Linked DNA regions of Coturnix japonica. The protein of the gene in region 1 binds, or shares a complex with, the protein of each later gene. Links are inferred from orthologs where the notes say so. Each region holds a gene or a part of one and is shown on either strand. Other genes may lie near its edges.

Region 1 (4,449 bases):
TCTTTCTTCGGTTCTTCCTCCACAACCTGCCCTGAATGCCAAGAGAGGTGTAGATCTCCTCCCTCTGCTAGGTGACAGTACTCCAGCTCAGCCTTTATAAGCCTCAGCCCGTACTTGAGAAAAAAAAATAAGCCAAACCACTTTCCCATTATACTTTTAGTTAAGTAGCCTCTAAACACAAAATGTATTAGAAAATCTAAGAAATGCTATCTTATATATGATTCGATTAAATGCATACAAACTCCATCAGATCATTCAAGTAAAAGACAACCTTAACAAATACCCCAAACCAAGCTAAAAGAACACGAGACTTTCCATAAACATATGCAAAACACTTCCTCTAACCTCTTTCGGGTTCATCAGAAGAACTTTAGCTATAACATGTTTACATGTGTCAAAATACTCCAAGGTTGCAGAAACACTTTGCTTCAAACACAAACTTACAGCACTTGGATAAAAAACTAAGTAAACGAACCATCAGCTGAAAATGAACCTCTGTGATAAAAACTTCTGCTACACACAGAAGAACAGCTCCTAGTAAAAACAAAAACCCCACAAAACCAACTTCTTGATAAGCCGATGATCTATACTAAACACTAAAATGACATGAAAAAAATAAAATCCCTTCACATCTAAAATAAATGTAACATTAAAACACAGCAGCACAGTACATGGAGAGACATCCCAGCTGCAGGTTTTCTTTCAGTTTCATTGGGCACTTTGAACATGAACTTACCCCTCCTAATTCTTTAAGATCCTTCCCTATTTTTTCGGAGATCACATTTGATGGAATATCGAGGTAAAACACTTTCCCAGTGAGTGGTTTATATTTCAGTTTCTCTGCTTTTCCTACTTCTTTTTTCACATTCTTCAGAGAAGATTTTACCTTTTCTGTTTTTGCTTGCATTTCATCTGCTGCCAAAAGAGAAGACAATTTTAGAAGAATTATATTCTACAAAATGTGGGTTCTCCTCTTTTTAAATATGAAAGAAGTTAAGCTTCCATGTAATAAAAGACATTTATTAAAGAGCTACATGTTAAACATGTCAAAAACAAGACATATATAATAACAAAGAGCTCTTAAAAGTGTTTTTTTTTTAAATCATGCACTAAAATGGACTTTTTATTTCAGTTGCCATACAATGCCATCCATTTTCTCATCCTCTTTGTTAAGCATTTTCCATCCCCACAGCACATACACTACTTGTACAGACAGTGATTATCACAAGAACACTATTTAGGAGGAAAAAGAACAGCCTCTCTCCTTTTCAACTAGGAAAAAAGGAAGATTCGTATAGAAGCAACAGAACAAAAACAAATCAAAAGCCAGTGTAACATTAAAAAAATAGGAAGATCCCCCTGTTTATCTAATTTTTGAGCACCCATCTGAGACTGAGGAAGTCTGCTTCAAGTTCCAGAATCATTCTAGTTATGACCATCCTTTCTGTCCTGGTCAATTTTTCTCTTAAAATAAGAGATAACACACAGCAATTGAATAACAGAATGGATCACAGAATGGTTTGGGTAGGAAGAGACCTTTAAGATCATCCAGTTCCCATCTTCCTGCTATAGTCAGGGTCACCTCCCTCTAGACCAGGCTGCTCACAGCCCCATCCAGCCCGGCCTTGAATGCTTCCAGGGAGGAGGCACCCACAACCTTATTGGGCAACCTGTTCCAGTGTCTCACCACCCTCACAGTAAGGAATTTCTCTCCCTGATATCTAGCCTAAATCAAGTAAACTCCTCCAGTTTACAGCCATTTTCCCTTATCCTCTCACTACACGTCCTTACAAAGAATCCCTCCCCAGCTTTCCTGTAGGCCCCCTTCAGGTACTTGAACTAAAAGCCTGATGATCAAATTAGAACTATCCACTCAGGTCTGTCAGAATAGACATTTAAAATAAGCAAATTTTAAAAATTACTTTGAGGGATCCTAAATGCACTGAAGCGTGACTGACTGTTCCTACTTGCATTCATTACAGGACTCCTTTTACAACCTGTGATGGAGGCTCAATGATCCAAGCCTGCCATATTGGTAGTTTTACACAGCTTTTGTCCTGACTGACCTTAGGCCAGAGCCTGGTTACTTCTCCTTTGGACAAGTTCAGTAAGGCCAGAGGCCTGTTGCAGGGAGTGTGTGGGAATCTTCTGGAGTCAAAACAGTCACTCTGCCGTGCATTCTCTCCTCTGAAACTGCCTCAGAAGGAGGAAGCAAAGCCAATACTGCTGCTGTATTCTCCCAGTAGTGGTTATGAGCACATAGAAGCAAAGCAGGAAGAGCAGTTAATTCAGTAGTATCTGAGAAACCAGAAGAAGCAGATAAATAGGAAACATGGAGGCTTTGGACAGTGTAATTCGTGTGGAAGCTGAAGAGAGAAGGATGAAGTCTGGAGCCACAGGTGAGCGGGCAGGTAAGAGAAATTCTGCAGGGATCAAACAGCGTGTTACACCCAGCACGTATAAGTGACGGCCACAGCACCTCGAAAACTACTGCAATTCCCACTGAAAAAGGCGCACCGAACTCGCTAGGAGTAACACAACGCCTGCACTTCGCAATACCGCGATGAAAGCAGTTTCTATAGGGGCGGAAGGGCCGCGCGGGGCAGGGCCTGATGGCAGCCAGCTCACATCCCTCCAATATTAGGCTTTTAACGATCGAGTCCCGACACCAGATGAAGCGAAAAGGCAAAATCACCGAGAGGGAAGAGCGGCGCGCTAATGAAGCCGGCCGCAGGCCCCGCTACTTACGGGGACGAGCTCCTTTATTGGCGACCTGTGCGGCGCTGGGTTTCATCTTTCTGCAGCCTCACATCCTCCTCCAGCCGGGAGCCCTGCGGGCACACACCGCCGTTACGCCTCCCTCAGCCGCCAGCCCCGCCCGGCCGTCCCCTCTCTTCACCTCTCGTCCCTCCGCCTCGCTTCTCCTCCCGGCAGGACGAGGCCGAACCTCGGTGCTCCCCGGCCCACAGGCGCCCGCCTCGGCCCGCGCTGCCAACGGCCCGCAGCGTGCGCAGCCTGCCCCGCCCCGCACGGAGGGTGGGCGGGAAGGCACCGGCAGGCGGGGTGAGGGGGGAACCGGGGGACGGAAGGGGAAAAGAAACCACCGCGAGGGCGGGAAGGATGCGTAGGGGCGCTGCCTCACCTCACAGGGCGCTGGGCGCCAGGCTTACACGGGAAGAGGTGCTGTGACAGGGGGGGCTGCCTCCGACCCCGCGGGGTCCTCAGAGTGTGTGGGGAGACGTTAGTATGGCGGCGTGTGGGGGGTGAGTTGTGGTATGCGCCGCTCAGTCGCCTTATCTTTTGCTTTAAACTCGAGGAACGCAGTAAGACATTCACAGAATCACGGAAGGGAATTCTGGAGGTCATTCAGCCCGTTGCTATTGTCCTGACGGCACCACTAGAAAGAGCCCGGCCCCATCTGTTTGACTCCCTCACTTTTAGGTATTTGTAAACAATGATAAAATGCTCCTCGTCCCCAGGCATCCCTTGGGCAATCCCAGAATCAGGGAGATGCTCCCAGTCATCTTTGCAGCCTTCTCTTGGACTCTCTAGAAGTTTCCTGGACTGAGGAGCCCAGAACTGGACACAGCATTCCAGGTGTGGCCTCACCAGGACACAGTAGAGGGGGAGGATCCCCTCCCTTGCCCTGCTGGCCGTGCTCTTTTTAATGCATCCTAGGATACTACTGGCCTTCTTGGCCACGAAGGCACACTGCTAGCCCATGGCCAACCTGTTGTCCACCAGGACATCTGAGTTTTATTTACTCTGCAGAGCTCCTCTCCAGCAGGTCAGCCCCTAACTTGTATAGAAGCGTGAGGTTAGTCCTCCCCAGGTGCAGGACTCTGCACATACCATTGTTGAACCTCATCAGGTTCCTCTTCATCCAACTTTCCAGCCTGTCCTATTGAACAAATAGAAAACTTTGATCAATACAAACTAAGGAGGTCACAACTGCACTAACTTAATCTATGTGCATTTTCAAAGGTATGGCCCTCAGCCATCAAATTAGTTTTTTAGGTTGTCCTGCGTGGAGCCAGAAGCTGGGCTCAGTGATCCCTGTGGGTCCCCTCCACTCATGTTTTTTGTCATTTGGGGATTTTATGTCCTGAAAATTGGTTTGTTTGGCTCTTCTTTTTTTCTTCTGCCTAGATTTATTTTACCTCCTTATTTCTAGATCTCTGCTTACATTTCTAAGGTATTGAGTCCTTGCCTATGAAATTGCACAGCAGGATTTGGTAAAGGAATTAATATTTACTGGCAACGTTAATGTCAGACAGTCACTGCTCGTTGTTTGAGGAGCTTGCTCAAGAAGCCATTACCAACAAGCTGTGATTTGGATTCACCAGGAGACCTCTCTGGATTTTCTCTTAGGAACGACAGAAGCAAGAGGGGGGTCTGGATGAAGTGCTCTGCTCTGCTGCAGTCTGTGGGCTGCAGGCAGGACATTTA
Region 2 (3,813 bases), on another chromosome or scaffold:
TCTCATTTGTTTCAGTCCCTTTTGAAACTTCTCAGGAGGTGTTATGTACCTGTCTTCCCAGCTCATCTTCTTTGTATGCTAGTTAGTATCTTTCCTACACATGTACCTTTCCACCAAGGTATCCCTAGTTCATGAAACCATAGCTTGTTATGATGCAACTGAAGCTGTGGAGAAAACAAACACGTAATAAACGTTTTCATTTTGCTGTTAGGAATTATTGTGACATGGAGAAAAACCCGAACAGAAGGCTTATCTAACAACAATCATCTTATTGTAGAATTAAAACTAGTACCACTTTGTTGTTGTGGCATTAACTGTTTCATACACTTATTTATTTTTTGTACTGATAATTGAATCAAAAGAATGCTTGAAAAATTATACTAACTTGAAAAAAAAACACAACTTGAAGCTTCAAAATATCTACTGGATATTAATTTTTGTAACCACTAAAATACGAAGTACCTTTTGTTGATGTTATGATTTAGGAGAAAGATTTGCTGTCTTCTGTTTTAAAAATTGGAGCTCCTTGCCGATGAGTCTTCAGTACTTTCAAGACAGGTATCTGTATGTAACAGGAAGCTTAAATATTTCATCTTCTGAAAAAATATCTGTTTTGCAGCTCTTTAAACAATCAAAGGTGATCGATGTTTCATCTAGGAAGTTAGTAACAAAGAAGAAGATTATTTCTACCAAAGCCATGAGCAATGGGCTGGGCAGGAAGGCTGCCAGTGGTTGTCCATCAAACCTGACCTGTAACTGTTACGCAACGGACAGAGTTTGCAGTGTTTGCCTTTCAAGGTAATTTGCTTCAACAATGCTGTAAAATTGCTTACTATGCTGCCAAACAAGTTCAAAAAGCTTGAATTAACCAGACAGCTGATTTAGTAGGTGAAAGACAGCATTTGATCTGTGCAGCCCTTATGACACTAAGTGAGCTCTTTAAAAGGAACAGTTCATGGAATTTGTGGAGTCATTGGTTCAGTGCTATTTGCAGCAAGAGATTCACTGTTATGATTTTCTGTTGCTGTTGTGTTGAATTATTTGCATTATCAATATGTGTTGTAGAAAATAACCTCAGTTAGTTACAAAACAAGAGTAGAAAATAATCTGTCATTGATCTAATAGGCCTAAATTATGCCAACTGCATTGAAATTCAGTGATTGGACTCTTGCTTTCTGAGAACTTAAGGCTAAATACATTCCCCAGGCTGTCTGTATTCTGGAAATCATGAAATGTAGAATAAAAGGGGAAGATAACAGTGCTGCATTTCTCAATTTGAAACATTTTAATAGTGGATAGGCCAGAGAGTCTAAATAACTCAGTTCAAATCCAGTCCTTTGTAGTTCATTTTGGCTATGATCTACCCTTACCTTTCCTGTCCACTTAGGGAACAGAAATTCCTGCAGAGAAATCTGCTTGGTAGGCGTAGTCATGAAACTGTGGTACTTCTCTTTCCTGACTGTCAAAATATGATGTTATCAAAGTCAGTTCAGAAATGAAACATGGGGAATTTGCTAGACTCAAGAAACTTGGCCTGCAGACAGAAAGCACTTTGGACCTTCTATACATTTTTAATAACGATCTCACACTTTTTAGTTAATCTAACAAGAAGTAAATTCTTGTCAACACTCAGAAATAGTGAATCTTAGTTTGCTCTGGATTAATAAAAAGCCATACTGTGCACACCCAAGAAACTAATGCATTTTTTACCATTGGTTAATTAGTCTTAACTTGAAAGTTCCCTATGAAAACACGTGTTGTCATTGAATAAAACTGAAAATATTGTGACTGAAATATGCAGTAAATACTCCTTCTACACATTATAACAAGATCAGTAATATAATAGGTAATTATAATAAGGTTATTTCATATGAAGTAATAATTATATGTTAGGTAATTGTAAGATATTTCAGACATAAAAACTGAATAGGGCAGATTTACATATCTCACAAAAGTATATTGTAAAAATAGTAGATATTGTTATAATTAGAATTTATTTCTCAATATGGATATTCTGAACATATTTGTCTCTTACTACAAGGTGTCAGCAAGTTGCTCCCAGAGCAGGAACACCTGGATTCAGAGCACCAGAAGTACTGACAAAGTGCCCCACTCAGACAACAGGTACAACATAGCAGACAAAAACTAAATGCCTTTCTTTTTCTTAAACCTGTCACTTACGCATTGACTTTATCTTTTGTATACCAGGCTGTTACACATGAAATTCATTTTCTTATCCCTTCTAACATTTATGAACCATTTCCCAAATTTAATTTGAAGTTAATTACTCCGAATAAGAAGGATCGAGGAATATTTTCCCATGTTTGAAATTTGAATGTCTGTATCCCTTTGAGGGGTACTGCCATACGCAGGAGTTCAATAGCACGTGTTTTAAAAGAAAACAAAGTTGTAAGTTTTATCAAGTTTCTTGGCTCACTGGCTTATTTATTCAAGAAAAATCTTAAATAAATCTTAGAGGGGTATGCTTTCTAGACAGTTTGACACGTGTATTTTGCTGTCTTGGGCATAACTAATTGTATCAGTGCAGTTTTTTATGTTTTTTATGATGTGTGTCAGTTAATTGGGACTTTTCACTGGATTTTTTTTTTTCCTTTTTGCTAATGCTTTAAATAGATGATCTGTAAATGTCATGATTTTTTCTTACTAAGATTTTTAGTTTCTCAGGGCTAAAACCTACATGTTTCAGTAGCCTGGTAAATATTGGAGAAGAACTAAGGGATGATTAATGCCGTAGGTGATGCAAGTAGGCTGGGAGAAGCTGTGCATACATGAAGAATTAGAGGGCTGATACAAAGTTCAATGTGTCACGTATGACCAGAAGTTTTGATTATGAAAATGAAGGATAAATACAAATGTTCTCAGAATTTGTATTTAAAATAAGTTTATAGCCATCTTTTTGCTTAGCACTTTGTGAGCATATAGTCAATTTACAGCATTTGAAAGTTCTCATACACACTCAGAGCAGCCTTACAATACGTTTGATCAGCATATCAATTGATAGCTTAATGCTATTTGAGGCAGGATCTGTGTTGTGGGCATGGCTGGGATTTCAAGAGGTATGGCAGCCTACTTGGAGTCACCGTGCCTGTGCAGTAACAGCCAGCTTTATGAGCTAGAAAACATCCAGAAATCCAGGATAAGTTTAGACAATCCCTGAATCCGTCTAGACAGAATTTATGCAGAAAGAAGACATACTTAAGAAATCTTGGACAGAGGGTTGTCTTAAGTGTGCTTTCAGACAGTTCTCTGTTCTCTAGGGTAATGGAGGGCAGGACTACAGAAAATATGGGTAGATCTGGAAACCCTTGGGTGTGGCCCTAAAGGTACTGAGTCAGTGGTGCAAAGCTTCTGTAATACGTCAACAAAGTGCTTCATTAGAACCGGGTAGAGTAATACTAATAGAGATAATGCTGTACTTGAGCTAACAAATCTCCTTACCCAATAACATCTGGGACTGCTGTAGTCACCTCCTTGTACTCCTGCCAATCTTGCTACTAGTTTTGGTCTTTGTGCCAGGACCAAGTTATCAGCTGGATCCAGCTGGCTGTCCAGAGCTACCTTAAGTAACTGAGCCATGTTTAAAGCACAGAGAACACAACCCAAACCTACAACTTGGCCCTAAGCAGATCCAGTTACAATTTTTAACTTGATTTGTTCCTTAGTTTCCCGTTAAGATGGCATCCCTCTCTAGCTGGATACTAACCACTAGGCAAATGCACAGAGAGGAATCGTGATTTTGATGTCATTGCACAAGACCTCTCAGTCTGCTGAAGATGCCAGCCCTATCAGAAC

The links.
Region 2: the proteins of DBF4 (region 1) and CDC7 are in contact, whole or in part, in a crystal structure (PDB 6YA8), measured with the Homo sapiens proteins. The link is inferred for Coturnix japonica from reciprocal best matches to the Homo sapiens genes DBF4 and CDC7. Residues at the interface, in NP_006707.1 of Homo sapiens: Thr210, Arg211, Thr212, Gly213, Arg214, Leu215, Lys217, Pro218, Phe219, Val220, Lys221, Val222, Glu223, Asp224, Met225, Ser226, Gln227, Leu228, Tyr229, Arg230, Pro231, Phe232, Tyr233, Leu234, Leu236, Met239, Pro240, Ile242, Asn243, Tyr244; in NP_001127891.1 of Homo sapiens: Asn56, Val57, Phe58, Ala77, Gln78, Leu79, Gln80, Ile87, Ile93, Pro94, Thr95, Ser96, His97, Pro98, Ile99, Arg100, Ile101, Ala102, Leu105, Gln106, Thr109, Lys121, Tyr122, Cys123, Phe124, Arg125, Asn127, Asp128, Val130, Leu143.

The regions. Positions count from the first base shown.
Region 1 is NC_029517.1:18,953,882-18,958,330, reverse strand, and holds the start of DBF4 (protein DBF4 homolog A), read right to left. Parts: upstream 2,864-4,449; 5' UTR 2,795-2,863; coding exon 2,749-2,794; intron 2,181-2,748; exon of another isoform or gene 2,067-2,180; intron 916-2,066; coding exon 737-915; intron 1-736. UniProt on the Homo sapiens protein: Regulatory subunit for CDC7 which activates its kinase activity thereby playing a central role in DNA replication and cell proliferation. Required for progression of S phase.
Region 2 is NC_029523.1:12,584,188-12,588,000, reverse strand, and holds part of CDC7 (cell division cycle 7-related protein kinase), read left to right. Parts: intron 1-619; coding exon 620-798; intron 799-2,041; coding exon 2,042-2,124; intron 2,125-3,813. UniProt on the Homo sapiens protein: Kinase involved in initiation of DNA replication. Phosphorylates critical substrates that regulate the G1/S phase transition and initiation of DNA replication, such as MCM proteins and CLASPIN.